Oryctolagus cuniculus: one gene and its partners. The protein of the gene in region 1 interacts with the protein of each later gene in a pairwise test. Links are inferred from orthologs where the notes say so. Each region holds a gene or a part of one and is shown in the gene's direction. Other genes may lie near its edges. The genes, in order: ALAS1, ZMAT1, PPL, POLDIP2, DUSP19, retrotransposon Gag-like protein 8B and LONRF1.

Region 1 (4,543 bases):
CACCCACCCCATCCCAAAAGGCCTGGGCTTTTCAACCTCAAAGCTGCCCCAGTGGCCTCCCGGAGCCCAGCCAGGATCCACGTCTCTTCCAGAAGCTTCCCGGGGACTAGGACTCCCTCCTCTAGCGCCTGCCTTCTCCTCCACCTGAAGTGCTTGTAACATTCTATTTCACTTTCCATGTGAGTCGGCCTTGTTTCCCAACCCTTGTTTCTATTAAGCAGGAAACTCCCGGAGGGCTGGAGGCTTGTCAGTTTAAACAATACGCCTCTGAAATCCATGACTGCGTCTGACCTTCCTGCCAACTACCAGTGGCAGGGCCGGGAGAGCTCTACCAGTGAGGAAACTGAGTCTCCAAGAGGTTGTGGCTGCCAAAGGCCGTGACCAAATAAGATTCAGAGCCGCGTGGAAACCACGTCCAGCGCCAGTGTCCCATTCTTCCTGCCTCTGCTTAGTCTCGATCGCCCCAACGGCCCTGGGTGGCAGGGAGAATTGGGACTATGACCCCATTGCCCAGATAAAGAAAACAAGGCCCAGAGACAAGCAAAGCGCTCAACACCATCCTTAGCCTGCTCCTACTTCTACCTGCACCTTGGTCTGAGTGCAAGGGCTGACCCTTTCCTCCTCACCCTGGCTCACCAGCATGGGGAGAGCACAGTCGCGGACTCCTGGGCCAGAGCCCTCATCCCTGACTGGACTACTCCCAGGGTCACTCCAGACCCAGATGCCTCCTCTGCCTGCCCTGCAAGGGGCTGGATGCTCAGAGACGGGATCAGGCAGTGCTTGAACATACCTTGGTCACCATCACTCTGGACTTTGCTCTTCTAATTAATCCGCCGCTGGGGAGGGAACAACCTGAATGACCCTTTCCCCAGAGTGGAAAAGGGCAGCTCCCAGCCTGGCACAGGCTCAGCCCAGCCCAGAGCCAGCCAGGCTGGGGAGGGTGTGGAGCTGTCAGGGGTTTGCCAAGCCCTGCCCCCAGGTGTGGTCTCAGACAGACTCAAAGGAGACATGGCCCAGCTGTGAACTCTGGGACGGAGTCCCAGACACCCACCTGGGTGCCCAGGAAGGGACTTTAGACAAGCTCTCTGGAAAACAAAAACAGGGCGAATGCGTGTCGGACACTAACTGTGTGGCAGGCCCTGGGCCTCCCCTTTCCCTAGAGCTCAGGGCACATGGGTTGCATCCTTGTCTGCACAGCTGGGTCCCCACTCTCCAGCCTCTCCCTGCCGGCACCGCTCCGTCTTTGGGTGATTCGGTGACAGATGCGACAGCAAGTCCCTGGCGGGGCAGCTCCTGCTTGAGACCCGGCCCGGAACCCCCTCCACATGTCCAAACTTCTACTTGGCAAAAAATAGGGTCTCCAGTTGGCCCCGGCCGCACTTGGTCTAGGACCTTGCCCCCGTGTGCCGCACGGCGCCGAACGCCGGGTTCTGACGCAATGGTCAGTGGGGAGGCGGCCGCGGGGGTGTGGGACGAGGCCGGGACAAAAGACTTCGCCGCTCGGCGGCCCTCCAGCGCGGGATTTGCCAGCCAAGGCCGACCCCCTCAGCCTCCGCCCGCTCAGCGCTCCTCACGGAGGCGGGCCCGCCGCGCCCAGCCTCCTGAGGGGGCGCGCCTGCGCGAGGGAGGCCGGGCCCAGGGCGCATGCGCACTGCTCCCCGCCGCTGTATATTAGGCGGCAGTATCCGCGGCCTGAGACTGCTCGCCGACAAGGGCAAGCGTTCGTGTGGACACCTCGGCCTGAGTGCCCGCCGCCGCGGCCGCCGCCTCGCAGAGTGCCCCGCGCAGGTGAGGGCCCGCGTTCTGGGGGCGGCGCCGGCCCTGAGCGTCCCCGCGCGTCCTGCCAGCCCGGGCCCCTCTCCCCCGGCGGCTGGGACCCCATCCCCCACCGCCCCAGTCATAGCTGCTGTGGGTTCGGCGCTCACCGTCCAGATCTTTAGCCAGTTCGGCGACCTCGGGTCCCCCACATTCGGCCCCCTCCTGCCGGCTGCTTTTCGCTTCACGCACCCCTCCGTTTGCTTGCGGGCTCTCGACCTCGCCTGACCCCGGGTCCCCAGCTCCCCGGGGACCACCTGCTTCCGCCGGACCCGCCTCTCGATCTCAGAGCCCCTAATGCCCCCCTGCCCAGCCCCTTGACGCTTCCCTCTCGCCCCCGCCCTCTTTATGCCCTTCCTCTCGGTTCTGTCCGGTGCTGGCTGTGGGGCCTGATCCCGGGGCAGTCCATGCCTCAGCGACCCAGGGCTCCGCTGGCCGCCGTCCTTGGGTTTGGGGGCCTGGGGACCCGGAGAAAGTCCAGATCTTTCGGAGTCCTCCCCGCCTGAATGAATGACCGTGGCCTCTTCCCCGTGCTCACGTCTGCACCTGAGTGTGTGCTGCGAATCGGCCTCCCGAACCTGTTCCTGACTTGTCCCTCATCCTTCCCTCCCCTTAGTTGTTAACTGTCAGTGTTCATTGGGTGGAGTTGCTTTGGGGGTGCTTTAGTGTACAGCCGGGGAGTGTAGGAGGCCTGAAGGCCTGGGTAGAGTGTGGTCCCCAGTCCACATCAGCGCTGTCCTTAGACATTTTTCGAGTGAGGTGTGTATCCCTGGGTACCCTTGGTGTGGACCGCAGGGGATGCCTGAACGCAGTGAGCCTGCGGTGCTGTTTGCCTGATGAGCAAGTGTTGACGGCCCTCTTTCTACAGGAGCTAGCACACTCCCTGGACATGGAGACTGTTGTGCGCCGCTGCCCGTTCTTATCTCGAGTGCCCCAGGCCTTTCTGCAGAAGGCAGGCAAATCCCTGTTGTTCTATGCGCAAAACTGCCCCAAGATGATGGAGGCTGGGGCCAAGCCAGCCCCTCGGGCCCTGTCCACTTCTGCGGGGCACTGCCAGCAGATCAAAGAAACCCCTCCGGCCAGTGAGAGTAAGTGTCTGGCGGCGAAGGGGCGGTGGGGATGCGTGGGCTCAGCACTGGCCAGAGGCAGGCCAGTGCGCACAGTGGTAAGGGCGTTTAAGGGCTGGGCTGTGGGCATTGGGTAGCTCAGGTAATGTTGCCCTAACCCCACCAAGTAGGCGCTTCCAGTTTTCCCATCTTTAAAGATGAGACCGGCCAGCGCTCCATATTACAGGTCTCTTCTGGCTTGGTTTTAGCGTTTCAGTGTTTCCTCTGTGCCTTATTTGCATAAACATTAAATTAACATGCTGCGTTCCAGCCTCTCCTTCATTAAATCTTTGACCTTTGGCTTTTAAAGTTGTGATTTTTTTCTTTAAAAAAATTGTGTTGTAAAATGCGCGCAACATAAAATTGATCACCTTAAGTATTTTTGAGCATGGTTGCATGGTGGCAGGTACATTCACGTTGCACCGTGCCCACCAACCCTTTACAGAACTTTGCCTTCCCAGAGTGAAACTTTGGCAACCACTGTTTTACTTTCTGTCTATATGAATTGGGCTACTCTAGGTGCCTTATACAGGTGGAATCATATAGTATTTGTTAATTTTTTAAAACAGATATCCTTATTTTGTTTATAAATCCTTTGTTTTATTTGTAATAAAGAGAGCGTAGATGACTTTAGTTTCTGTTTGGTGCTGCCAGGAAAGGATAAAGCTTTTCCAATTTCACTTAATCCTAGGGAATATTTTACCTTCTGTTAGGTGTGTTGTCTGGGTGTGAACTTGGAAGAAAGGAATGTTTTTTTTCTGTAAGTAGAAAGGATTTAATCCTTTGGAGGATTAGTTTCAGGAATTAGCTTTGTCTTTTTTGCCAAAATGTTTGTAAATTGTAAGGCTTGTCTCTTTTTCTTTTCCCAGACTTTCTCTAACGAATATGTGCTATACTTGCAATTGATGAAATTAACTTCAAAGTAGTTTTTTTGGCTTTCATTTAGAGAAGATTTTAATGGAAACCATTGCAACACCTTGTCCAATGTAGGAAAGACTAGCCACTGAGTAACAGTATTCCAGAATGTGAAGGCTTTTCTAGAAGGAAGGGGAACAAATTTTCTTAAGGGGAGAGGGAAGTCTTAGATGAGAACGTAGGTAAGGTAGATAATGGTGATATACCTGTGGTTTTTTTCTTAGCATACTGGTAGTTTGAACTCCATCAGACAGCAACCTGGAGACCTGCATTTTAGTCTAATTTCTTTTATTCAGAAAAAAATTAGTAGTTTTCATGTTAAGCAACAGCATGCTTCTTGGTCAAGAATCTGCTTAGAAGATGTGAGTAGAGAATTGTGTGGATACTTCGAACACCCTGAGAGAGACTGTCCTCTCCTGACACAGGCTGAATGTGCTTGGGGTAGAATTTACTGGAAATGATCCAACTTGAGGACTCAGAGTTGTCTAAAAATAGAAAATAGTATCTTTATTATTTATTATTATTATGTGCTGTGAGGTAATTGGAATTGCCAAGTAAGTCTTTATAGGGGCATTATTTCCAGTGAGACAAATAAAAAAAATAGTGAGATTAACAAAACCTAATAAAACAAGTTTATGTTTGGATTGTGGGGTGGAATAAGCATAAAGTTTATCTTTGGGGCAATAAGAGGAAAAACATTAGTGGGC
Region 2 (4,567 bases), on another chromosome or scaffold:
CACAAAGTAAAGTAGGGGAGTGGTGGGAACAGTGGGAAGGAATGAGATCAAGGAGGTGAGAGAAGAGACTATTAGTGCCAAACTGTGCACTTTGACTTTATCTAAATAAGCAATGAGAGCGCCAGTGATGAATGACAACATTATGGAAATACATTGGAGGAACTGGGACCAGAGGAAAGATGACTTGTGGGATAGAAGCCATAGCTGACAAGACATAACGAGGACTGGAAATACAGCCAGGGAACTGAGAGCAGAAAGGAGGGCACACAGAAAAGAAACTCACACAAATGTTTCCCTTGGGCATCTCATCAGCAAGGAAATGAATGGGATATTGTACAACCCTGACAGCTACAAACAACAACATGGATGAAAATTCGAAACTGAATGTTGAATGAAAGAAACAAGTCTCAGAATGCTACCTAGTAAAAGATACAAATTTTTCATTGTTAAATTTGAAGACAATCAAAACGAAATAAACCTAGTTAGGTATGTATCTATGTCACAAGAAAATACGTTAAAAGAGAAAAGAAGTACTTAATGTGCTGTACATTGTGATTTAATGCTATAACTAGTACTGAAACAGTATTTTTCACTTTGTGTTTCTATGTGGGTGCAAACTGTTGAAATCTTTACTTAATATATGCTAAACTGATCTTCTGTATATAAAGAGAATTGAAAATTAATCTTGATGTGAATGGAAGGGGGGAGGGAGAGGGAAAGGGGAGGGTTGCGTGTGGGAGGGAAGTTGTGGGGGGGAAGCCACTGTAATCCATAAGCTGTACTTTGGAAATTTATATTCATTAAATAAAAGTTAAAAAAAAGATAAAAGAAATAATAAACATAAATCAAAAAGCAAATTGGTTTTTTAGGAAGGGAGGTCAGGGGGAAAATGCTAAGGGGAATTAAATTATTAGTAATATTCTACTTCTGTTGGGTACCAGATTTACGGCAGATTTTCAAAATGTAGATGGGTAGATCAATAGATACAGCCCTTTAAGGGGCCATAAAGACAATGTGTCATAACCAAAGATTCTGTTTATTTCTATTTTCTGTAATAACAGCTCCAAGAAAAGAGATGTACGAATATTTTAGGATCCCTTAGGAGAGGAATCAGTAACTTCCCCCCTTTTTTTTTTTATTGGTTTTAGATTAACTCCTCCAAAGGAAGCGTCTTCATTGTGTGATCCCCACATGCCTTTACATCCCGCGCTTTTTCCCCTTTTCTCTTGGGCATTGCCTCCTGGGCAAAGACAATGCGTCAACGCCAAGCAGTGCGTGGCGGGGTGGGGTGGGGTGGGGTGGGGACTGGGGACGGGGGTAGGGGTGGAGAGCAGCCTGTGGATCTTAACCTTTACGATTGGGCAGAAGAAGCAAGGAGCGAGATCCAAGCTCCAGCCGGGGCGAAGGAAAGAGGGGCGAGGGGGCGGGGCCAAGAGGGGGCGGGGCCAAGAGGGGCGGGGATAAAGGAGCAAAACCAGAGCGAGGCGCAAGTGCGACTGTCCGCGCCTCGCTGCGATGGCCGCGGCGTTGAACACAGTCACGCCGCTGGCCACGGAGTCTTCCCCTCAGGAAGCTACAGTCTCTGATGCCTCCTATACCGCCTTCGCGGCGGCGGCGGCGGCCGCGGCCACAGCCACGGCCACGGCCCCGGCAGTGATTGTGCCTACCTCCTCCGCCACGTCCACCTCTGCCCGCCTGCCTGCCGGTGGCTGTGGCGACGGCGGCAGCGGCTTTGGCGGCTCCACTATGGCGGCGGCGGGGAGGGGGGGCAGTAGTTTTAAAGTAGACACCCGCCCTTGCCTCAGAGAAGGTGAGTTCCCGTCCTGGGGTGCGGGCACGGCCCCATCTCCTTCGCTGCCTATTATCAGCCCGTCGGAAATCTGGCTGGGCGAGATTCGCCCCTTTCCCAACCCCCAACTGCTGTGGCGCAGTAGAGGCCAAGGTGCCTCGTCCCACCCCGTGGTATTAGCCCCCAGTGTGCCAGGTCTCCTTGAAGCAGTGAGGGGTTTCCCTGGCCCCAGAAAAGGATGCAGGCCCCCAGGCAAAGAAACTGAAGGTACTCACCAGGCAGGAGTTTGAAGGGAGAAAAACACACACACACACACACACACACACATCATTTCTCGCTCAGCAAGACGCCTTCGTGTGCACTAGGAGATGTGATTTGGGAAAGAGGCGAGGTTCTGAGTGCTGTGGCCCTAGAGGGGCAAGCAGGAAAAGAGAAGGGCGAGTGATGGAGAGAGGCGACAGAGAAAAAGAAGAAAAGCTAAGGAAATCAGAAATCAGACAGAGAAAAAACCCTCTGGTAAAATCCGAGGTCCTGTGGTGTGGAAACTCGGAGTAGTACATTTATGGAGAGATGGGGTTAGGCATTTGGGAAGGTTAGCGTGTATACTTGAGCTTTAAAGTAGGATCGGTTGGATTTTAGGATTGTAGGGTCTGGTGGAGGGTGCTCTGCTGGGGAAAAAACATTGGAAGAATGTGGCAGAAGCACAAATTTCACGCATCACTTTGGAGAGGTTTCTTTGGCTTTTTAAGGTTATGACCTAGTAAAGCAAAGCTTATGGGCCCATCTTTAAGGTTGTTTCGGCTTTAAGAGGTGCTGTTGTACCTACAAACACATATTACTCCTAACAAAAAGATATTTCTGGACTATCCCAATATAAGTGGTCTTTAGTTCACATAAAGTGCAATATATTTGTAAGCAGCCTACCAATAGCAAACTGTAAAATTTACCATTGAAATGTATTGTAAAGCAGTTTTGGAAATGCTCTTAGGCCGATTCCATGGCAGAAGATCGCAATCGAGCATTTTGTCATCTAAGTTCAATAATGTCCGTCTTTGTATGTTACCTTTTCCTTCTAACTTGCCTACAAAAACGAAACACTGTAGATGCCAACGTACAGCAAAATGATTTAACTTGATTTTTGTAGGAACAGAACATTCCGTTAAAATTATCTCATAAAAATAATTTCTTCTGCCTAATGATATATTCCTCTATGCTATTTCATAACCATTCACACTTTTCACTTTGGAAAAATGGTAAAGCAGTAAAACAAACAAACAAACAAAAAAACCCTTAACATATTTGTAGCAGACACCTTGTACCGTTGCTAGTCACTAAATAAGCAAGTTGGAAATACACTGAAACATAATGGCATTTTATTTATCAGCTATTACCAAAGGCAATCTTCACAAGAAACACTTCATTTAGTGTCTTCAGTCAGCCTGAATTTGTACCATTGTTGTGGAATGAAACATGAAATCTCCTGAGTATAGAAATTTTGTGTCAAACTTTCTGTCCATAACCAGCAAGAAACCTCACCATGGCATGTTCACAATAAAGTTTAGGGTCCAAATCTCGTGTAAAAATGCTATTGTGCCTGCCTCTGTAAACTGAATTGTTTGCAGTATTTTCTAATAATGTACAAGGGTACTTCAAAAAAGTTTGTGGAAAATTGAATTAAAAGATGTTTGTTTCTGTAAAAAAATTGAAATCTGTGCATACAAGAAGTCTTTAAAAAGTTCACAGAGAGATGGGCATTTGGAGTAGTGGTTAAGAACAGGTTTGGATGCTGCATCTGGTGTCGGAAATGCCTGGTTTCTAGTCCTGGCTCTATTCCCAGTCCCAGCTTCCTGCTAATGACACACTAGGAGGCAGCAGGTCTACCCACCTGGGAGACTTGGATTGCGCTCTGGGCTCCCAGCTTCGGCCTGACCCGGTCTCAGCTGTTGCAGGCATTTGCAGAGCAAACCAAGAGATACTGTCTATCTCTGTTTCTCTGTCTACTTCTGTGCCTTTTTGCCTCTAGAATTAAACAAACAAACTTAAATAGTTCATGGGAAATGTGATTCATGATTGCTTTAAAGTACCCTCATATGCGAATATTTAGAACTTTAAGATATATGCTTATAAAGTAGCAGCAATACCTTTTCTATGCTTTTACTAGGTGATAAAATGAGAGCCCTGACATAGGAGTCTGGTTGAATGAACACAGATTCTGTTGACAACTAATTCAATAGACTTGCTGACCCTGAATAGGTCCCAGACTTCTTGGATTTGGGATTTAGGTTTCTCTGAATCTTCCTGGGTTTGATCTCTGAAATAGGGGAATTGAACAAATCGAACTTTGAGGTTGATTTCAGATCTGAAAGTATTAACCAGAATGTTGAAGTTCTGCATTGATATTCTTTTGATGGCATTTCTAGGGCTGTGCATTAGAATAGTAGTTCATAAATCATAATAAATCTTAATAGATAGCCTCTAACATTCAGTGAGTAATGAAATCTGTATTGAGTTGTGTTAAGACTGTTTATTAGGATATGAAAAAACAAATATAATGGTTACTAGTTTTTCATTGTAGTTAATCAGTCTTCCCTCCAATCTAAAACTCTTCTAGCTTTTTACTTAACGAGTGGTAAATATTTGATATATTGCACTGTCTAAAACACTATTGGCCTTAAAATGTTTTTGCTTAGATTTTTATAAAGGCCATAAATGGTTGTCAGATATAATAATGGATAATGCAGAAAAGAGAAAAATGTTGTCTGGTGGTGTGCCAGTGTC
Region 3 (4,797 bases), on another chromosome or scaffold:
TGTGTTTGTGCCCATTTCACAGAGGGAAACGGAGGCCGGGAGAGGCATGGTGGCTCACCTGTGTTCACACAGCTGAGAGGGTCTGAACAGGGATTCAAACTCAGGTCTGTCTACGCTGCCTGCTCTCCTTCCCCTGTGAAAATGCTGATCTTTCCCTGGCCTCTCCAGAGGGGACTCGAAGGTGACCGTGTCTCACGAATCCTTGCCCACGTCTGCCGCGCATTTACAAGCAAGTGGCATGCCCGCCTAGTTTCTCTCTCTCCCTCCCCCCAACACAGAGCGGGCATCGTAGACCCTCTCCTTTGCCCCTTGCTGTGGGCATCCACTCCACGTGTGGGTCTAGGCACACCGTCCGCACAGCTGTGGCTGCTTGTTTAACCTACCCCAGGGGTGAGCAGCTGGTTTCCAGAAAATCTACAAGGTTGCAGTGAACAGTCAAGGCAGACTTAGCACCCACACCAGTGCCCACCTGCCCAGAAAGGTGGGAGGGGGAAGAGTAAGGAAAGGGTCTCTGGGCACGGGCAGGGGAGGAGCAGAGCAGGAAACAAGCCCCCCGCTGTGGCCCATGGCCTGAGACTGAGCTGGGCTTTGGTTCTGGTAGCTGCAGGCCGCCTGTGTGCTGCAGCCCTGGCTCTTCTCTGACACCTGCCCCAGTGTCAGCTGGCTGGTGGGCGAGTCCCCAGGGTGCCCTCAGACCTAGGGAGGGGAGTCTCTTCAGAACGAGGGGTTGCTCAAGGCCTTACCTGCCCCACCTAGGGCAGCACCTGAGAGGGAGGCCAGGCAGGGCCGAGGTGGGGGGTTAGGTTTGGCGAGAGGTCTGTGCCTGGGCAGTAGCTGGCAGGGTCCCTCCCTCTTGGCTTTTCCCAGTGAGGTCCAGGACCGTGGGGGGATCTTGTCAAGTGATCAGACTCCTGAGCCCTTCTCCCAGGGTATGAAGGCCTGAAATCTGCATTTTACACACCCCCACACACCCCAGGCGCCGACGCACAGCAACTAGAGCCACTGTTCTCAGAGAGGTCCCCTGGCTGCACTCAGGGACGTTCCCAGACGTCTCGCATTGTCCTTGATCCTAACGAGGCCACCAGGCCCCTCAGCAAAGTCTCCAGTCTGAGTGTTCTGTTTTGCTTTTTTTTTTTTTAAGATTTATTTATTTATTTGAAAGTCAGAGTTACATAGAGAGAGAAGGAGAGAGAGAGAGAGAGAGAGAGAGAGAGAGGTGTCTTCATCCACTGGTTCACTCCCCAATTGGCCACAACAGCCAGAGCTGCGCCAATCCAAAGCCAGGAGCCAGGAGCTTCTTCCCGATCTCCCACACGGGTGCAGGGGCCCAAGCACTTGGACCATATTCCACTGCTTTCCCAGACCATAGCAGAGAGCTAGATCGGAAGTGGAGCAGTCAGGACTTGAACCGGCACCCATTTGGGTAACTGAGGCTAGGGGCGCTGGAACACGCACGTCGCCCAGGGGTCTCGGCCGACCCAGTGCGGAGGCAAGATCCGCACGTGGGCAGGGGCGTCCAGTGCCCCCTTTGCTGGGACCCACTGGCCATCCGGGTCGCACAGACACCGACAGCGGCCCTGTGAGGGGCGGAGCGGGGGACTGGGGACTCCAGATGCGGGTCGGCCGGAGCCGGAGCAGCGCCCGCGCCCAGAGCACTCAGGGCCCCCAGTCGGGGGGCGCGCAAGTCCCCGCGCGGAGGGCGGGGCCCCGCGCGTGCGGAGGCGGCCCGGGCGTCCCCGCCCCCGGCCCTGCGGGAGCCCCTCCCCGGAAAGGTGAAGCGCCACCTACCCGGGGAGCGGCCGCGGAGCGAGTGGCCGCCGGGCGCCCCGCCCCCGCGAGTAGTGCTGGGGTGCCGAGGGCGCGCAGCACTCGGGGCCGCCCGCCCGCCCGCGCCGCCGCCGCCGCCGCTCACCTGCACCCACAGCCCGCCCTCGGTGCGCGCCGGCCCGCCCGGCCCCCGCCGCTCCCCAGCGCCACCATGAACTCACTCTTCAGGAAGAGAAACAAAGGCAAATACAGCCCCAAGGTGCAGACCCGCAGGTGAGGAGGCGCCGCGGGGCGGGGGCCAGCGCCGGGTCCCCGAGGGGTCCCGGGGCTCACGGGTCTGGGAACCGAGCCAAGAGTGTGGGACGCGAGGGGTCGCTCGGCTGGGAAGAGGATGGGGTGGCATGGGCGAGCGCGTCCGAGGGGACACCGCTTGTGGCCCCCCGGGGTCCTCGGAGCGCAGGGGGCCTGGCTTTGAGGGCCTAGGGGGCGGGGAATTGAGACGGGGGTACCGGAAACCTGCGCCCCCCGGGCTGCTTTTGAGTCGGGCTGGAGACTGCGGCCGCAGGGGGCCCGAAGGCCGGGTCTAGAGGGGGTGTGCTGGGCCGGAGAGCGGAGCTGGGCTTGGAGGGCGCACACCTGCGGGTCTCGGAGCTCGCACAGGTGCTCCTGGCGTCGGGCAGGCTGCAGGTGGGGGTGGCGCGGGGGCGGGCCACCTGCTAGGCACTTCCCCGCACCTGCCAACCTGCGCTCGGGAGTCCCGCCCCGCCCCGAGGCCCTGGAGCGGAGGGCACAGGCCCGGCACCCTCTTGCTTGCCCGGGGAGCGCCAGGCAGGGCGCTGCGCGGTGGCTGGGTGGCGTCGGGCCGCCGCGGCCCTTCTTAGGGGTGTGGCTCCTTCCCCGCCCCCTCCCCCAGCCCCGAAACTGGCGGCGGCTCTGAGCGGCGGGTTCCCAGGGAGGCCTGGGAAAGGAATGACATGTCTCGATGTGTTTGTGCGCACAGGCAGCCCACGTCCGTTTTGATAAGCCGAATGCATTCGCTTAATAACCGGTTTGGGGAAGTCGGGGCAATTCTGAGATGAGGGAGGGGGAGGGAGTTGGCCCTGCCTTCTCCCCCTCGAGGGAAAACGGGGTAGGGGCGTTGGGTACAGAGATGGAGGCAGGCGGGGAGTAGGTGACCGGCACAGCCTCCTGGCTTGGGGTCCCCACTCCTCCTGCTGCCCTGTGGAGTCCCTGCAGTGCCGGGGGCGGCTCCTTATTCCCGGCAGGCCTCTGATGGCCCAGTGCAGGCGGGAACTCTGGGCTCGCGTCCCCCCCCCCCCCCCCCCCGCGCCGCCCCTGCCATCAGCCTAGGCTGACCTGTTTGGCAGGTGCAGGCAAGCCTGGCCCTCAGTTTCCTTCCGTTCCAGCATCCTCAGACACCCCAGGAGTCGGGATCCCACCCACCCATCCCATAGCTCCCATTCCAGATGTTTGAAGCTCAGAGGCATCCCCCCCCCCCCCGCCCCCGGTTCCCTCCTGTCTGTCACAGCCTCAGAGGCTGGGCAGGGCCCTGCGTGCTGTTCCTCCCTGGCCGTCCAGCTGGCTCTCATACCTCTCTGGGGGCCCAGCCAGTCGATGCGCTGTTCTCTCGGGCATTGCACAATCCTGTGCTCTGTGCCAGCCCCACACAACTGTTCTGTCCTCGCCACCACAAGACCTCCACACCTGCAGGCACCCCCACTCCAGGAGCTGGGCCAGGCTGCCCCTCATCCCCCGCAGCCCGCATCCCCAGAGGCCTGGGCTGGACCTCACACGGGTTAGCGTGAGTTGAGGCAAGTTGGGAGGGAGGCACCCCATCCCGCTGAGTGCGTGGGGCGAGCACTGACCGCTCCCTCCCTGCACTCCTGGCCAGAGGCAGCGCCCTCTGTCCTTGGCTTGCAGACCTCAGCTTGGGGGTGTCTGTGCAGGAAGCCTTCCTGGTTCTCTCCCAGGGTGGAGTGGAAGACCCTTGGTGGGGCTGCCGTGGCCTTGTGTTACCTGGCCCTGAGTGGGATGGCAGCCCTGTGTGCGGCCGGGTCTGCCACATCCTCTCCCAGCCCTGTGCATCCCTCTGCCAGGAGGTGGGGGCAGCCCTGCACCCCAGTCTCCCTCCCTTCAGCCTACTCCACGCTTCACCAGCCCTGTAACAAGCAGCCTGGGGCACCTGTGGCTCTAAGCTGTGTTCTTTCACCCTTAGTTTTCTGGGGCTCTCTGCCATTGAGATTCGGCTTGGCGGGGCGAGTGGGAGCTCGGGCCCAGGAAGCGGGACTCCCGGCTCCTCACCCTGGCTTTGCCACCTCCCCGGACCCTTCCCGAGCCTCAGTTTCCATTTCTGCAAAGCAGCGAAGAGGACAGTAAGAATCTGTCGCTTGGAGTCTCCGAGAGCAGCCTTGCCCTGGCACACAGGAAGTGCCCAGGTCAGGGTTGTCATCACATCCCAAGCCGGGGCACCTCCCGCCGTGAGCCCCAAGCCCCGTTAAGGAAGCCGCCCCTCCCTGCCAGCCGGGAGGGCCAGGACAGGGTGTGAACCCGTTGCTCCTGTCACCCTGGTTCCTAATGACAGGTGTGGGAGCAGGTGTTCACACCTGCGATAATGACAGGTCCCAGGGAAGCGTCCTGCAGGGAACCAGCTCCCACCCTCCCGGCTGTGTAACCTGGGACGGAGTTGGTCCTTCTGAGACTGTTCTCTCCCACCTGTAGCCTAGTGCCTGCCCGGAGTGCTGGCTGAGGGTTAAAGGAACGGGTGGAACGGGTTGAGGACAACAGGCAGCTGGGGTGATGGTAATTAGGGACTTGTGTGGATGTGTGCATGGGGCTGAGCTGGATGCATGGTGGGCAGGCTGAACGTGGAGGAGTCACTGACCGCTGCCTGCCTCTGAGTCGCTGGCGGGCACATCAGGGCGAAAGGCTAAGGTTAAGCTCACATGCACTGGTGGTTCCCTGACCCTGGAGACTCATGGGTGGGGCTGGGGACACACAGCAGGACAGGCTGGGTATCCAGGCCAGCTGTCC
Region 4 (3,718 bases), on another chromosome or scaffold:
CTTGGGCCATCCTCCACTGCACTCCCAGGCCACAGCAGAGAGCTGGACAGGAAGAGGAGTGACTGGGACATAATCCGGCACCCTGACTGGGACTAGAACCTGGTGTGCTGGTGCTACAGGCGGAGGATTAGCCTAGTGAGCCGTGGCGCCGGCCCGTACCAGCACTCTTTTGTGGGATGGGGGTGTTCCAAGCGACAACTTAACTCCTGCTCCATAACGCCCATCCCAAGACCTGGATTTAGATCCAAGTGAGTCTGAAGTCAAAGTTTGTATGGCTTTTGTTGATTTGCATAATGTCTTTCAAAAACCTGACATTTGGGAAGGGCACTGGTGCAGTGGTTAAGACACTGCTTGGGAATGCCCACATCCCGTGTTGTAGAGCCTGGGCTTGAGTCCCACCTTCACTTCTGATTCCAGCTTCCTGCTGTCGCACACCGTGGGAGGCAGCAGGCAGTGGTCTCAGTACTTGGGTCCCTGACACCCACGTGGGAGATCTGGATTGGGTTCCAGGCTCCTAGCTTCAGCCTGCCCTAGCAGTTTGGGGAATGAATTAGAGCATCATCTGTCTTTGTCTCTCTGCCTTTCAAATACAATGAACAAGAAGTAAACTTTTTTTTTTTTTTTTCCAAGAAGACCCCAAATTTTGGAGTGGGCATTTGACCTGGCAGTTAGGATCCTAATTGGGGTACTTTTCTGGACTGAGTTTCCAGATTCTAGCTTCAGCTTGGGTCAGCCCCAGCTGCTGCAGGCACTTGGGTAGTAAACCAGCAGGTGGGAGATGTGTCCCTTCTTCTCTCCCTTTTGAATGAATAAAACAAATAAAAACATAACAAAAGATACCTGAAACTGAATTCTCTTAGGTGGAGCAAGCACCTCCCATCACTCTAGGTTGTCTTGTCTCTTGCCTATTTATCCATGTGTATCTCCTAATCCCTGGAGAGATTTGGTTTTGCAAACCCTGCCTACCCTACCTTGTCTCCTGAGAAAGTCAGAAGTGGCATTGGTGCCAGAGGCCACACATGCCGTACTCATTTATTAAGTCAGCAGGCACTTGGGGAAGCAGGGTAGTAAAGTGAATCAGAGCAGGGCTGTGGAATTAGTCTAGCCTGAAATTTCAGCTGTGTTACTTACTGCGTAATTTTGGGCATGTTGTTTTACCAAAGTCTCAGCTTCTTACTGCTGAAGTGGGGACCACGCCTATTAGCCTATGATCTCTGGAAGAACTAAATCCGTAAAGGTTTGCAGACTACCTGCCAGAGTGCTTAGCGCTTAGCACTCAAAAGTGGACACTGGAAGGGGTAGTTCCAGAGTAGGTCCTTGGTCCAGTGTCCTCAGACATTCAGCCTGAGATTCTCTTCCAAAGAATCAGAATAAAAGGCCCAGGTCGGTGGCTGTGCTGTGGGAGGGGGTCCTGGCAGGTTATCAGTGTGGGGGGAGCATGCAATCCTGATGAACTGGCAGTCAGGAGCATGTCCCTGGGTGTGGCCTAACCCATTTGCCTGCACCCTCACAGGAACCAGTGTTATCCAAGGAGCAGCCCGCATTCCAGTACAGCAGCCACGTCTCCCTGCAAGCTTCTAGTGGGCACATGTGGTGAGTGAGCCTGTGCTGGGGCAGGGGCTCTTGCAGTCCAGTCACAGCTTCAGGTCTGAGGAGCGACCTCAGTTTGCAGTTAATGCTGGCCAGGTTCAGTCCCGAGATGGAGCCCTGTCTGCCGTTCACTATTGTGTGGACTGCCTATGTGCCAGTTTTTTAAGATGTGTGGGCTGAAGTCCAGTGGTTTGATGCTACACTAAGTTGCTGAAGCCCGGTGTTTCACTACTGAACCTGAAGATGCAGTTGGGTGGCTTTGAGCAGTGTGCCTGGAAGGGCCAGAATCTGGACAGCTGTGCTTTTTGTGTGGGGCCAAGGAAGGCTCCTGGATCTCTGGATCAGCCAGCCTCCCGTGAGTTAGACAGGAGAGCACAGCCCACCTCATGCTGTGGCTGTGGAGCTCAGTGTGTGGGGCTCAGGAGGGCCTCAACTCTGATTCCCCTCAACCTGCTTCTCTGACCACAGGGGCACGTTCCGCTTTGAGAGACCTGATGGCTCCCACTTTGATGTCCGGATCCCACCCTTCTCCCTGGAAAGCAATAAAGACGAGAAGACACCACCCTCAGGCCTTCACTGGTAGGCCAGCTGAGGCCCTGAGAGCCCAGCTCGGCCCCAAAGAGGAACAGCCCTCATCCCACAGTTGCTGCAGAACTCTCTCCCTGTTGTAGGCCACACTGAGTCTCTTCATCTTTTGCACCATTTGATCGTGAGGTTCTTTTGGGGGATGCAATCGTTTTCTTCGGAAGACCCGTGTAGGACCCCTCCAAGGCTGGCCTTCTATTTATAAACCCTGCCTACACTGTGTTCCAGTAAACTTGTCCACCAAGGAACTGTGTTCAGCTGCCAGAGGCCTGGAGGAGTCTCCTGGCCGGTCAACAAGTTGTCTGGAACGTGAGGTTTGGTCAATAAACCAGTGCACGCTTGGCCACCCTCGCCGTTTCTGTCCCCAGGGGCCTCAGGCTCCCTCTCGCAGTGGGGGCCCTTGAGTACTTTCCATGCTGCCCTTCCAGGGAGCTGTGCCCTCTGCTAGGTTATGTCTCCTTCAGAGGCTGGCTGGTCATCTCCAGGGGCACTGTACCCCTCAGCTGGTGCGAGGGCGCTGAGCACGGACCTGGACTCTGTTCTTCACCTTCTGGCAAGTACAGAGAGGCTGGCCAGCATCAGGGCTGGAATGGTCGGCTCTTAACACTGACTACCCGCTGGCATCTCAGCCTCGCTGGGCCTGAGATAGTGAGGAAAGCCAGCAGTGTCTGTCCAGCCTCCAGGCCATAAATGTGGGGATTCAGCCAAGGAGCAGCTGTAGGCATGGACGGTAACTAAGCCAAGCTACTTCCCAAGCTTCCCCAGGGAGTTGTGCTGCATTTTGCCCTGATTCTTAGAAGTCCTCTGCAATGATTGTTAAAGATACTTTTAATCTTGAATTATATTAAATCGGTTCTAGCCCTTGCTAGTGTTGTCCTCAATCCTCCACCAGGGGGAGCCTGGGTTGCAGGGCAAGAGTAAGGGGGGGCGCTCTGGACCAGCTGGAATAACACTTGGTCCCATCCTGAGCAGACATACAAGCACTAAGCCCACAGCAAGCTGGTCAGACTCTCCGCACTGTAAAAACAACACTCAGTACCACTCCAGTGCAACAGTTTTATTAGAAATTAGTGTTTGCTTCCATCACTTTACGCTGAGCAAGAAGGTATCACAGCTATGTGGCAAAGAGGAAATTCTCTCCTGCCGGCACTGCACCATCCTTCAGGCAGACCTGGGTCACACGGCACATGCAGTAAAACCTGGTACTGTCTGTGTTCATAGCAGACTTCCAGTTTCTCAGAAACTGACAGGGTTAGACCTACATCCATGCTGTTGTCAGCTTCCCCCTGGGCTGCTTGCGGTTGGAAATGCACACAACCAAGGGCTGCTTCCTGAACGGGGTTGGGAAACTTGAAGAAAATTCCCCAAGATCCTCAAACCGTAAATCCTGATTAAAGAAGCTAAGCTCACTCCACTGAGCCCAGTGCTAGCTGTTTTCCTTAAGACCAAACGTTTCCAGAGGGAGAAGACAAGTGCCCTTCCCGACTAGTGTTTTCCTGGTCACCAGCGAGAGGGCTGAGGATGAGCGGCAGCGGAAGTAGAG
Region 5 (4,064 bases), on another chromosome or scaffold:
CTGGATTGGAAGAGGAGCAGCTGGGACTCAAACCGGCACTCATATGGGATGCCGGTACTCCAGGCTGGGGCTTTAACCCGCTGTGCCACAGTATCATCCCCTCTCTCTCTCTTTTTAACTCTGCCTTTCAAATAAATAAATAAATCTTTTAAAAATTTTAAAAAAGAAGGAATATCACTCACAGCACTTATTTACAGTCGTTAGATGTGGTCCCTGCCCTCATGGAGTCTCTAGTAGAGAGAAGGAGAAAACAATCTGTAGGTGGTCGGAGCTATAATAGGGTATGTATGGTGGGCCATGAGGATGTACACAGAAGGGGCACTTCTGTTAGGGATGGGGCAGAGACGGCATTCTGGAGGAAATATCATTCAAGCGAGTCATGTATAATTATTTTACTATTCTTGTTACAGATGTTGACATCTCAGTCTCTTTTTAGGTTACCTCACTCATGAGAGTTTAAATATCATCATTTTTTCTCTCCCTTTAAGGTGACTCATATTCTAAATGTTGCTTGTGGAGTTGAAAATGCTTTCCTCGGTGACTTCACATATAAGAGCATCTCCATATTGGATCTCCCTGAAACCAATATCCTGTCTTATTTTCCAGAATGTTTTGAATTTATTGAAGAAGCTAAAATGAAGGTAAGTTTTATTTTAATCCACTGTCCTTCAAAAACAGAAATTTGAAAGTATGGTTCCTTTGTCTATTCTTTTTTTAAAGATTTTATTTATTTATATGAGAGGTAGAATTATAGACAGAGAGAGGGAGAGACAGAAAGTTCTTTTATCTGCTGGTTCAGTCTCCAGATGGCCACAGTGGCCGGAGCTGGGCCCATCCAAAGCTAGGAGCCAGGAACTTCTTCCATGTTCTCCTAGGTGGGTGCAGGGCCCCAAGGACTTGGGCCATCTTCTACTGCTTTCCCAGGCCATAACAGAGGGCTGGATTGGAAGAGGAGCAGCCAGGACTTGAACAGGCACCCATATGGGATGCCAGTGCCACAGGCGGAGGCTTAGCCCACCAGACCACAGCGCTGTCTCCATCTTTATTTTTTTATTTTAAATGAATTTCTAAAGATCTATTATGAAACTTTTAATCCAAAAATATTTCATCAATTCCTACAGTTATTTAGTACCCTCATTGTTCTTTTCTCGTTGAGATACTTGCTTTTTTTAAAAAAAAAAGATGTATTTATTTATTTGAAAGCCAGAGTTACAGAGAGACAGAGGCAGAGAGAGAGAAAGAGAGAGATCTTCCATCCGCTGGTTCACTCCCCAGATGGTTGCAACAGTCAGAGCTGTGCCGATTCGAAGCCAGGAGCCAGGAGCTTCTTCCAGGTCTCCTACATAGGCCCAGGAGTCCATCCTCTACTGCTTTCCCAGATAATAGCAGAGAGCTGGATTGGAAGTGGAGCAGTTAGGACTCGAACTGGTGCCCATATGGGATGCTGACATTGCAGGTGACGGCTTTACCCAATATGCCACAGTACCAGCCCTGAGATACTTAGTTTTAACATTAATTCAGTTTCCTGTTTCCTATGTCTGAAAAATGTTAGGAAATAAAATCTTCATGTACTGAATTTTCCTGTTTAAATATGTAGTTATATTTCCTTTAAGGAATTGATAACTATTTGCCCTCTGACCACTGCTTGCTGACCTACAGGTAGATTATAGAATAAAGAGTGTTCTAGTCTTGTTAGTATAGTTATGATGGTTAGTGCACATTCATTTTAATGACTGAGGTAGGGATTTTGAATCTATGCATTTATATTTTTTAAGATTTATTTTATTTATTTGAAAGACAGAATTACAGATAAAGGTAGAGACACAGAGAGATCTTCCTCTGCTGGCTTACTCTCCAGATGGCCGCAACTCTGGAACTAAAGCCAGGAACCAGGAGCTTCTTCCAGGTCTCTCATGAGGGTGCAAGGGTCCAAGGATTTGGGCCATCTTCTCCTGCTTTCCCATGTGCATTAGGAGAGAGCTGGATCAAAAGTGGAGCAATCGGTACTCAAACAGGCATGCATATGGGATGCTGGTGGTGCAGGCTGGGGCTTTAATGGCTGTGGCACAGTGCAGACCTCAGAATCTATGCATTTTTAAAAAAAGATTTATTTATTTATTTGAAAGGCAGAATTACAGAGAGGCAGAGGCAGAGAGAGAGAGAGAGAGGTCTTCTATCTACTGGTTCACTCCTAAGATGGCCACAACAGCCAGAGCTGGGCCGATCTGAAGCCAGGAGCCAGGAGCTTCTCCTGAGTCTCTCACACAGGCACAGGGGCCCAAGGACTTGTACCATCTTCCTCTGCTTTCCCGGGCCATAGCAGAGAGCTGGATTGGACGTAGAGTAGCTGGAACTCGAACCGGCGCCCATGTGGGATGTCGGTATTGCAGGCAATGGCTTTACTCACTACACCACATTTCCAGCCTCAGTCTATGCATTTTTAACAACAGAATTTTAAGGCACTCTGAGGAATAAAAGTGTATTGCTTTACTGAGTCTGTAAAAAGGTTGATCAGTAGCTGTCCATTGGTTTTCTGAGTTTAGAAGACCAACAGGCAATATAATATTAGATTAGAGCCAACATGCTGACAGGCAGGGCTTGTAGGCTCGTTATCTTCAAGAAGTACATCTTGAATTGACACTGTTTTATGTCAATAATTACTTATGTTATCAGGAAGTATACCTTGAATTGACACCATTTTATGTCAATAAGTACTTCTTAAAAAATGTATGTAAGGGGCTGGCACTGTGGTGTAGTTGGCTAGGCCTCCACCTGCAGCACAGGCATCCCATATGGGCCATAGTTCGAGTCCCAGGTGGTCCACTTTTGGTCCAGCTCTCTGCTAGTGTTCCTGGGAAAGCAGTTGAAGATGAATCAAGTACTTGTGTCCCTGCACCTGTGTGGGAGACCCAGAAGAAGCTCCTGACTCCTGGCTTTGGATCAGCCCAGCTCCAGTTCTTGTGACCATTTGGGGAGTGAACTAGTGGATGAAAGATTTCTCTCTCTCTGCTTTTGCCTCTCCCTCTCTGTAACTCTGCCTTTCAGATAAACAAATAAATCTTTAATATATATATTTTTCTATATAGATATGTTAGGATCAGCTGCTTTTTTGAGGTGTAGAATATGGCTTAGATGGTAGAGTATAGATTTCATTTGTATCTGCATTAAAATTGCAAGATATGTACCATTGTGTGTAAAATTGGAGAGGGGTGGGCATTGACATAGTTGTTAAGATAGTACTTAGGGGCCGGCACTGCGGCTCACTAGGCTAATCCTCCGCCTAGCGGCGCCGGCACACCGGGTTCTAGTCCCGGTCGGGGCGCCGGATTCTGTCCCAGTTGCCCCTCTTCCAGGCCAGCTCTCTGCTGTGGCCAGGGAGTGCAGTGGAGGATGGCCCAGGTGCTTGGGCCCTGCACCCCATGGGAGACCAGGAAAAGCACCTGGCTCCTGCCATCGGCTCAGCGCGGTGCGCTGGCTGCAGCGCGCCGGCCATTGGAGGGTGAACCAATGGCAAAGGAAGACCTTTCTCTCTGTCTCTCTCTCTTTCACTGTCCACTCTGCCTGTCAAAAAAAAAAAAAATTTAAAAAAAATTTAAAAAAAGATAGTACTTAGGATGACTGCATCCCATATTGGAGGCATCCTGGCTCTACTCCCAATTCCAGTTTCCTGCTAATTCCCTACCTGGAGGCAGCAGGGATAGCTGTAGTAATTGGGTTCTTGCTGCATACATGAGAAACCTGAATTGAATTACAGGTTCCTGACTTCAGCTTGGCCCAATCTGGGCTGTTGCAGGCATTTATGGAGTAGGCCAGTATATGGGAGTGCACTTGTTCTGTCTCTCTCTCTGTCTCTCTCTCTTTTTAAAAGATTTATTTATTTATTTGAGAGGCAGAGCTACAGAGAGAGGGAGAGACAGAACCAGAGATCTTCTGTCCACTGGTTCACTCCCCAAATGGCCACAATGTCCAGAGCTGGTCCGATCCAAAGCCAGGAGCCAGGAGTTTCTTCCATTGCTTTCCCAGGCCAACAGAAGGGAGCTGGATCAGAAGTGGAGCAGCTGAGA
Region 6 (3,526 bases), on another chromosome or scaffold:
TTTGACCATGGCCTTGTCTAAATATGATCAGAGTCGGTGAACTCAGGGGGCTTCCAAAACCTTGGCAGCTCATGACAAGAGCCTAGGGTGATTACTGATGCCCTAAACAAGAGTGTCAATTTGTTAAGTCAACAACAGGAGTCACTGTGCACTTACTCCTCATGTAGGATCTCTGTCCTTAATGTGTTGTCCAATGTGAAGTAATGCTATAACTAGTACTGAAACAGTATTTTACACTTTGTGTTTCTGTGTGGGTGCAAACTGATGAAATCTTTACTTAATATATACTAAATCGATCTTCTGTATATAAAGATAATTGAAAATGAATCTTGATGTGAATGGACTGGGAGAGGGAGCGGGAGATGGGAGGGGTGCGAGTGGGAGGGAAATTATGGGGGAGGGAAGCCATTGTAATCCATAAACTGTACTTTGGAAATTTATATTTACTAAATAAAAAAAGAAAAATAGATAGGTTGAATGTTTAGTGTTTTTCTGACTATCCTTCAAGGCACTTCTGGTACTTCAGTGGTCTATATAGATCTACCAACAGTTAAAGAGACTATGCTGCAAACTGAAGCTAAATGGAAGCATTATTCTCCCTTCTACTGCTTTTATAGTCATTTATGTATCTCCTAACTCTAACGTTCAAACGTCTGGTCTGGTCGACAGGCCCCGTTTAGGGCAAAGGAAGTTTTCTGGAAACTCCATCCTAGTCACCTTCTCCAGCAAAGCTGTTTTTAAATCAGGACCGGCTCCACATGCCTGCACAGGAACATCTGTGCTCCTGTCCCTTCCCTCATGCTCCCTCTCCCTTCTACAGCATTGCCACTGTCGTTACACACACATGCATTTTCCACGTCCTTGAAATAGTCCAGAACTGCTGACGTGCTGTGCAAGGAGCACAGTATGAAATTTAGGGGAAAAACAGGTGTTGAAGGGATAATAGGTGTCTCGTGTTTCATAATTCGTGGCAGGATTGTGCCATAGACAAGTGATTGAACTAGGTAAATCACACACCGAATTTTACTGCAGGAAATTAAGGTATTTATTTGCATTCAACCCTCCGTACAGTAGCTGCTCAGGGTGTAATTACTTTGCGCTAGTACTTGGGGTTGGCCTGTAATGTTGCAGAGTCAACACCTCTCTGGCTGAGACACACGACCGAGTTGCACCATGTGTTCAGAGACCCTCCCTCAAAAGGCAGCCAGAGCCCAGATCCGCAAAGGGATGCGCAAGGGCGCGGAGTGAGGGAGGACGAAGGGCGACGCCCCCGGACTCGCTAACTTCCCCAAGTGGAACCAGAAGCTGTCCAAGAGCAGCAGACCCCAGCCTCGCCACACGCATCTGGGGTGTCGCGTTCCTCCGCGGCTCCCCGCCTTTCGCCCGCCGCCCGCCGCCCGCCTGGGACCGCCCCCTCCCGCCTCCAACTCCGCCTCCTCCAGGGCTGGCCACGCCCCCGGCCGCCCCTATCCCGCCCCCTGCCGCGCCTCCCTCTCCCCCCGCCGCTGCTGGCTCCCGACACGCGCCTGCGCCGTGCCGACCGCTCGGCCTGGTGGGCGGGCCCGCGCGCCGCCCGCAGCCCGGCGCGTGACTCCGCCCACACCCGCCCCTCCCCGGGCCCGCCTCCGCGACGAGTCCTCGCCGCGACGCCCGAGCGCAGCCTTCCGCGCAGCCCCGCCAGCCAGCTCGGCGCGATGGACAATCGCATGCGGCTCGTGAAGGCCCTGCTGGCCCGGCCGCTGCGGCCCGCGGCGCGTCGCTGGAGGAACCCGATCCCCTTTCCCGAGACGTTTGACGGCGACACCGACCGGCTGCCGGAGTTCATCGTGCAGACGGGCTCCTACATGTTCGTGGACGAGAAGACGTTCTCCAGCGACGCGCTCAAGGTGACGTTCCTCATCACCCGCCTCACGGGGCCCGCCCTGCAGTGGGTGATCCCCTACATCAAGAAGGACAGTCCCCTCCTCAGTGATTACCGGGGCTTTCTGGCCGAGATGAAGCGCGTCTTTGGCTGGGAGGAGGACGAGGACTTCTAGGCCGCCGGAGCCTCGGGCCCGGGGCCGGCTGCCCTGGGGAGGGTGGGCTGCCCGCCGGCCGCCGCCAGGGTCGCCGCGGGCGGCCCCCGCCGCGCTCGCGCCCGAGTCGAGTCCCGCCGCCCCCCTGCTCCCCGAGTCGCCGCGGCGTCCCCTCGCCCCCGCCCGCCCGCCCGCGTCGTGCTTGCCTTTGTTCCAGGAATAGCGCTCCAGGCTGGCGCTGCTGCCTCTGGGCCTGGCTCTGGACAGCGCCGCCGCCCTGCCCGCTGCCGCCGGCCCGGCCTGTGCCCTGCACCGGGGGCCGCCGTCCGGCCCTCGGGCTGCAGGCTGGGCCCCCGCCGCGCGGCCGACGACCAACCACGCACCGCCGGCCGCCCCCCGCCAGCCCGCATCGCTCTGCCCACGCACCTGCGCCGCCGCCGCCGCCGCCGCCGCCGCCCCCGGCCTCCCGCCGACAGACTGCTCTTCTGAGCCACCTGGACTCCCCTCCGAGGGGTCTGGGCTGGCCGCGGCCCTCGGACCCCGACTCCGACAGCCGGCTGCCCGGCGGGGCCAGCCGGCCTCCCACCATGAGTGAGGCCGCGCCCCCTCCTCCCAGAGACACCTTGAGGGTCTGGGCGCTGAATCGCGCCTGTCACGTCCTCCCGTGGACATGACAGTAGTTCTCCCCGCCCCCCCGAGTCCCGGTTCTTCCGAACGTGCAGCTGTCTCTCTGATGTGTGCCTTGTGTCCCACACTATGACCCTGTGGTCTTCGCGGCTCTTTTACACTACCTGTACAGAAGTCTTTCCATTCTTTCAATAAATGTCAGACCCTGTCCAATAAGAAACTGCGTTCACTGAGTGTGCCACCTTTCCCTCCGTGCTCCTACAAAGCGGGTCTGTATCTTGTTCAGAAACCGCATGACCTGTTTCAGTGTTTCTTTGGACCATCCTAAATCAAGATTCCACTCCTGCCGTGGTCCTGGGGATGGAGAACCTACCACTGAGCATTCTGTCGCTGGTGCTGAATCCTATAATGCTATTAGAAATGTTTCATAGCTCTTTGGAAATGAATCTTTACTTCTCTTTTTTTCCCCTAGGTGATTTGAGAATTCATCCATAAGGGTTCATTGAAATGATTTCCTTATTTCTCAAAAGTTATTTGAAAGCCCAAGTCTCAAATTGTTATAAAATATAAAATTTATACACTCATTGTTTCTAAGCAGCTGTGAAAGTTTTATTTACTCTGATTTTTTTTATTTTCATTTTCAAATCCCAAGAAACATTTTGAACATTTTCTTAGTTTCCAGTGATGCTGTGCACTTCTGCAAATTCCCAAGGGATCACCAGTGAGGTGAGCTAACTAATGTGAAAAGGCAGTCTGAGTGACTGGCCAGTTAAAAGGGGGAGCCAGAGGATGTTTTAGCCCTGTGTTATTCTCCCCCAAACTATTAAAAGTAAAGCAATCAAAAATCTCCTAATTGACTCTTTCTCGCCATAGCTATGTTTAAC
Region 7 (4,832 bases), on another chromosome or scaffold:
AATGCAGAGTGACCTGTTAGGGTGCCAGCGACTGCTTTGCTACACTTCCTGATTCAGAAGAGGTTGTGCAGCATCCAAAGGCCACAGCGGCTGCACAGCCTCTTACATAAATAAGTTACATAAATGAGAACAAGTTATGTAAATGTATAAACCAGCAAACACGAATCATAGCCATTCACAAATGCCAAGGAGAGCTCAGCAAGATTCCTCCCACAGTCCCAACCTCCCCTCCCTGCCCTGCCACAGTCCCAGTACCATACTAATTGTGCCATTTTATTTCACATCCGAATCAGATGTGGTTATTTGTCCTATCTGTCTATTAGGGAATGAAACTCCAAAGGACAAATGATATTTTTCATGATTTTCTGAACCACACATTTTACTTTGAGGGGAAATCCCAGAATGGATTTAAACTAGTGTTGAAAAGACATCTGAGTGTTTATCAATTCGCTCAACTCACTGTATGATCACGATCACATTTATTAGCTGTTTACCACTGCACGTTTGGCAAGCTGCTGTTACGGACAAGAATGCATCCCGTAAGTCAAAGGGCACGTGCATAGGGATACTCAGTCTTTGGGATTTGTAGCTTCAAGCTGGTCTGTGGGCATGTGACTCAAGTCATCGTTCTGCTGGCTGAGAGGTCGCAATTCAGGGGGATTAGGATTGGATTTAAGTTCATGCCTGTGAATACACACCGAACAATTAGGCCACGGGGCTTGGATCCCACTACAACTTGCTGTAGGCGCAATGTAAATGAAAAGTGACCTTGTGTGTCTCTGCACCTTGTGTGTCTCAGTATTTTCTCGGTCAGCTTTTTGTTCATTCCCTTTTGGGGAATGAATCTATAACTATTATCAATACCATAACATAGCAGTTAAATCCTCTCTCTTCATTACTTGTGTGAATTCGGACAAGTAAACTTTTCTTTTCCAACCGTCTGCAAAGTAACTAAAAAGTTTTAAGTCTCTTCCAACATTAACAACCCAGAACCCTATATTCAAAACTATAAATATTTTCAATTGAGAGTTTTACACTCGCTGCTGTCAACTTCCAGGAAGTATAACCCATTACCTACAAGTGGGATCATTTCTTTTTGTTCTGTCTGTAAAGCTGCAGACCCAACTCGGGATGTAGGGAGAGAGTACCTGCCGTGGGCAAGGCATCTTTCCTTGGGGAATACAGACTTCCCCCAGCTGGAAGGGGGATACAGCCGGCACCCCAAGAACCCGCGAGCTAGGAAATGAGTTTTGAACTGGAAAGGCCGCGGCCACTTGGCACCAGAAAAAACTGGAGGGAGCTGCGGACTTTTGCGTTTGTGTCTAATGTAGACCGACGGTAGTCGAGTCACGAAGTCGTCAGACGGCACTTGTCGCGGGCCCGCCACCTCTGTAACCTGAGGCATACACCTAAGACGCCACCCTGCACCTGACGACCCGGACTCCGCGCAGGGCGAGGGCGCAGGTCCCCAGCCCGATGGGGCAGTGCGTCGGGGGAGCGCGGGCGGCGTGGGCCTCCGTCCCGCGAGGAGGGGGTCCACTCAGCACAGCAGCGCCCACCGAGCAGAGGCGAGGGAGGGGGCCGCTGCAGGCGGGGTCGTCGGCGGGGAGGCCAGCCCCGGGTGGGTGATAAAGGATCCTTCGGGCTTTGTTTAGTAACACGCCAGGCCCTGCTCTCCCGAGAAACCAATTAGATCCCCGCTGCGGGATCATCTGACCTGCGTCCCCCACCCGCAGGGGGCTCGGAAGGGGCGGGGCTAGGCGGGGCCGGGCCGGCGACTCCTCGGGAACGCGGCCGCGGGTGGTGCGGGGGAGTCCCGAGCGCTGGACCCGGACCTGGGCCCGCCCCTCGGCAGAGGCCCCGCCCCACGCAGGCCCCGCCCCCGGGGCTTCCCGGGCGCGCGCCGCCCCGCCGTGTCCGCGCGCCACGCCCCCCTGCTCGCGGGCCGCGTGCGGAGCCGCGCGCCCCGTAGGCTCTGGGACCGTGGCGGCGGGCGGCGGCGGCGGCGGCGGCGGCGGCGGAGCAGCCGTCCGCGGGCCATGTCTTCTCCGGCCGTGGCGAGGGGCTCTCCGGGAGGGAGTCGGGAGACGGCCCTCAGGCCCCGGAGCCGAGGCCGGTTTTGGGAAGTGGGCGGCGGCGGCGGCGGCGGCGGCGGCGGCGACCAGCTGGAGCGCGCGGCCGCGGAGTCGGAGCGCTGGGAGCTGCTGCTCCGCCGCGGCGAGCTGCTGGCGCTTGGCGGCCACCTGAAGGGAGCGCTGGAGGCGTACGCGGCGGCGCTGCGCCGGGGGGCCCCGGTCAGGCCCGAGTGCCTCGGCACCCTGGTGGACTGCCTGGTGTTCAACTACCGGCTCCGCCACGGGCTGGGCTGGAGCGCGGCCCCGGCTGCCGGCGCGGGTGCGGGCGGGCTGCTCAGCTGCCTGGGCTGCCGCGGCTTCCTCAGCGAGCCGGTGACGGTGCCCTGTGGCCATAGCTACTGCCGCCGCTGCCTGCGGAGAGAGCTCCGCGTCCGCTGCCGCCTCTGCCGGGACCGGCTGCCGCCCGCCGCCGTCGCCAGTGCCGCGGGTGCTGAGGGGACCGGCCCGCGGCCGCCGCCTCTGGCCGCCGCCATCGCGGCCTCGGACTTCAGAACCAGCGTCGTCCTCAACCACCTGGCCGAGAAGTGGTTCCCGGGTCAGCGCGAGCGAGCCCGGGCGGCCGGCCGGCTCGGGGAGCTGCTGCTTCAGGGGCGCTACCGGGAGGCCCTGGCCGCCGCCTGCGAGGCGCTGCGAGCAGGTGACGGCGCGGGGATGCGGCGCGGGCCCGACCGACCCCACCCTCCTTTCCCGGGCGGGCCGGGTACCCAGAGCGGGTCTGCGCCCTGGGGCAGGCTCGCCCTGCTTCCCCGGGGGCCGCTGGGCACTCGGCGTGCGGGATCTCGGGGTGCTCGAGGGTGTGGGAGGGGGCGGCGCCCGGGGTGCTTCGGTCACAATGGGGATCGCCCTGGGAGCCCACTGTGACGCGGCGCGGGGAGGGGCGCGCGGGCGCGGGGTTCCCTCGGCCGCGGCCTGGCGCTCGGGCGCGCGCGCGTGCGGCGCGGAGCTGCGGGCCCCCGGGCCGGAGGCCGCCCTGGCGCGGGATGGGTGGGAGCTGGGGGAGCCCGAGCGGCCGCCCGCTTCCTGCCGCGCTCTTTCCGGGAATTGGCGGCTCGGGCCCGGCAGGGCCGGGCCACCCCGGGGGTGGGAGACGACATCGCGGCGGGGCGGGGATCCCCAGCCGAGGTTGGGCGGGCTAGGTCTACCTTCCCGACCCGCAAAAGTCACCGGGGCAATTGGAAGCCGCGGGAGGGCAGAATTGCATAAGCTGGGGTGGAGGGGCGTTGTGTAACGGGTGACGTCCGGTGGGCGTGGCGGGAGCTCGGCGCCCGCACCCAGTGCCGCGAGGCCCCTCCGGCCGCGGTGGTCAGCTCCTACCTGGAAGTGCCCGCGGAGTGGGTGCATCTTGAGGCGTCCACCTGCTCTTCTCAGGTCACGCCGGTTTCATTGTGCTGACTCCGGAATACGCCCAGCCCAGGGCAGGGATGCAGAGGTAGTCTCTAACCCAGAGTTACCGCCTCGCTTCCGTTCGCCTTTCCACTTAAGATCGAGCCCAGGGGGAAAGGCCGTGTAGGGCTTTTGTCTCTTCCTTTGTCTCCAGGACGCACCCTCGGCTTCCCAACTTCAGTTAGCACTTTTCCCAAGGCGGTTTTACATTGTGCCAGACGCGCCTGTAAAACTTCCGTTAGAAAAAATGAAGTTCTTGGATCAGTTCTTTTACTAGGGGGGGGGTTTCACTACCCCCTCCCCAAGGACATTATCCAGGGCAACATATCTGGCAGTGTCTAGGGACATTTTTGGTCCCCACCTCTTGTAGGCGTGATGCTGGTCCCGGCACTGTGGGCACTGTGCGGCTGACCTGCCACCGCCAAGAATGCAGGCCCCAGACGACCATCAGTGGCACTGTGGGCGACACTTGTATGAAGTGGATTGCAAGATTTTCATGTCGCTGTGTTGGCAGGAAATAATGCTTGGGGGAAATAATCCCCAAGGAAATAGACATGAAATATTAAACTGACTTTGGGTGTTAGGTAAGTTTAGACACTGTGGAACTGAAAATACCCTCCTGTGGGTGCTTAGTCATATTGAACCAGTGACAGTGTCTTGAGTTATTTAGAACCTTCAGAGTTCACAGCACAAACTTGCCATGTTTTTGAGGCCTTTTAGTGTGTCTGTGGAGGAGGCAGTTGTAAAATATGGTAATAGTCTCAGAACAAAAGGAAAATAATTGGGTATTAAATTCTGATACACCTGACTGCCTCTTGTGGGCAAATAAGCCAGAATTGGCTGGATAGAACACCTATCACAGACCATGTGAGAAAGCAAGGGCTGGAGCAGTGCAGTGACTTGCCCCAGTCACACAGCTGGCTGCTTGGAGAGGCAGCTGTGTGTCCCTTTCTAAAGTGGGCCTTGTGTTCATCTGGTCTTTATAGGTCATCCACTCAAGTGCTCATGCACATTTCCCAGGAGGGTTTTCTATCACTAGTATAAAATAGAGGATAAAACTCACCAACAGCACTATTCAGTATCTACGCCTGACATGGTGATATGACATTCTTTTAAATTAGGTTCTTTATAAGCTTTGAGGTCCTATTCCTTGGAAGAATAGTGAACACATTACAGATTTAAGTCTAGCTTCATGTTCTGTGACTAATATTTTTTTGAAAGTTTATTTTGTTTATTTGAAATGCAGAGTGATAGAGACAGAGTGAGCCCTTCCATCCTCTGGTTCACTCCCTAAATGCCCTCAGCAGCTGGGGG

Evidence for each region.
Region 2: the proteins of ALAS1 (region 1) and ZMAT1 interact in a two-hybrid assay, tested with the Homo sapiens proteins (2 studies listed by BioGRID). The two-hybrid records come from large-scale screens. The link is inferred for Oryctolagus cuniculus from reciprocal best matches to the Homo sapiens genes ALAS1 and ZMAT1.
Region 3: the proteins of ALAS1 (region 1) and PPL interact in binary tests that used the Homo sapiens proteins (3 or more experiments, as listed by UniProt). The two-hybrid records come from large-scale screens. The link is inferred for Oryctolagus cuniculus from reciprocal best matches to the Homo sapiens genes ALAS1 and PPL.
Region 4: the proteins of ALAS1 (region 1) and POLDIP2 interact in binary tests that used the Homo sapiens proteins (3 or more experiments, as listed by UniProt). The two-hybrid records come from large-scale screens. The link is inferred for Oryctolagus cuniculus from reciprocal best matches to the Homo sapiens genes ALAS1 and POLDIP2.
Region 5: the proteins of ALAS1 (region 1) and DUSP19 interact in a two-hybrid assay, tested with the Homo sapiens proteins (3 studies listed by BioGRID and IntAct). The two-hybrid records come from large-scale screens. The link is inferred for Oryctolagus cuniculus from reciprocal best matches to the Homo sapiens genes ALAS1 and DUSP19.
Region 6: the proteins of ALAS1 (region 1) and retrotransposon Gag-like protein 8B interact in binary tests that used the Homo sapiens proteins (3 or more experiments, as listed by UniProt). The two-hybrid records come from large-scale screens. The link is inferred for Oryctolagus cuniculus from reciprocal best matches to the Homo sapiens genes ALAS1 and RTL8B.
Region 7: the proteins of ALAS1 (region 1) and LONRF1 interact in binary tests that used the Homo sapiens proteins (3 or more experiments, as listed by UniProt). The two-hybrid records come from large-scale screens. The link is inferred for Oryctolagus cuniculus from reciprocal best matches to the Homo sapiens genes ALAS1 and LONRF1.

Annotation. Positions count from the first base shown.
Region 1 is NC_091441.1:97,513,881-97,518,423, reverse strand, and holds the start of ALAS1 (5-aminolevulinate synthase, non-specific, mitochondrial), read left to right. Parts: upstream 1-1,515; 5' UTR 1,516-1,644; coding exon 1,645-1,788; intron 1,789-2,683; coding exon 2,684-2,903; intron 2,904-4,543.
Region 2 is NC_091453.1:90,872,071-90,876,637, forward strand, and holds the start of ZMAT1 (zinc finger matrin-type protein 1), read left to right. Parts: upstream 1-1,496; 5' UTR 1,497-1,515; coding exon 1,516-1,810; intron 1,811-4,567.
Region 3 is NC_091450.1:30,735,019-30,739,815, forward strand, and holds the start of PPL (periplakin), read left to right. Parts: upstream 1-1,597; 5' UTR 1,598-1,612; coding exon 1,613-2,040; intron 2,041-4,797. UniProt on the Homo sapiens protein: Component of the cornified envelope of keratinocytes. May link the cornified envelope to desmosomes and intermediate filaments. May act as a localization signal in PKB/AKT-mediated signaling.
Region 4 is NC_091448.1:43,895,752-43,899,469, reverse strand, and holds the end of POLDIP2 (polymerase delta-interacting protein 2), read left to right. Parts: intron 1-1,513; coding exon 1,514-1,593; intron 1,594-2,058; coding exon 2,059-2,173; 3' UTR 2,174-3,039; downstream 3,040-3,718. UniProt on the Homo sapiens protein: Involved in DNA damage tolerance by regulating translesion synthesis (TLS) of templates carrying DNA damage lesions such as 8oxoG and abasic sites.
Region 5 is NC_091434.1:57,556,192-57,560,255, reverse strand, and holds part of DUSP19 (dual specificity protein phosphatase 19), read left to right. Parts: intron 1-488; coding exon 489-641; intron 642-4,064.
Region 6 is NC_091453.1:112,833,282-112,836,807, forward strand, and holds retrotransposon Gag-like protein 8B, read left to right. Parts: upstream 1-1,602; 5' UTR 1,603-1,694; coding exon 1,695-2,036; 3' UTR 2,037-2,862; downstream 2,863-3,526.
Region 7 is NC_091433.1:77,988,710-77,993,541, forward strand, and holds the start of LONRF1 (LON peptidase N-terminal domain and RING finger protein 1), read left to right. Parts: upstream 1-1,932; 5' UTR 1,933-2,039; coding exon 2,040-2,772; intron 2,773-4,832.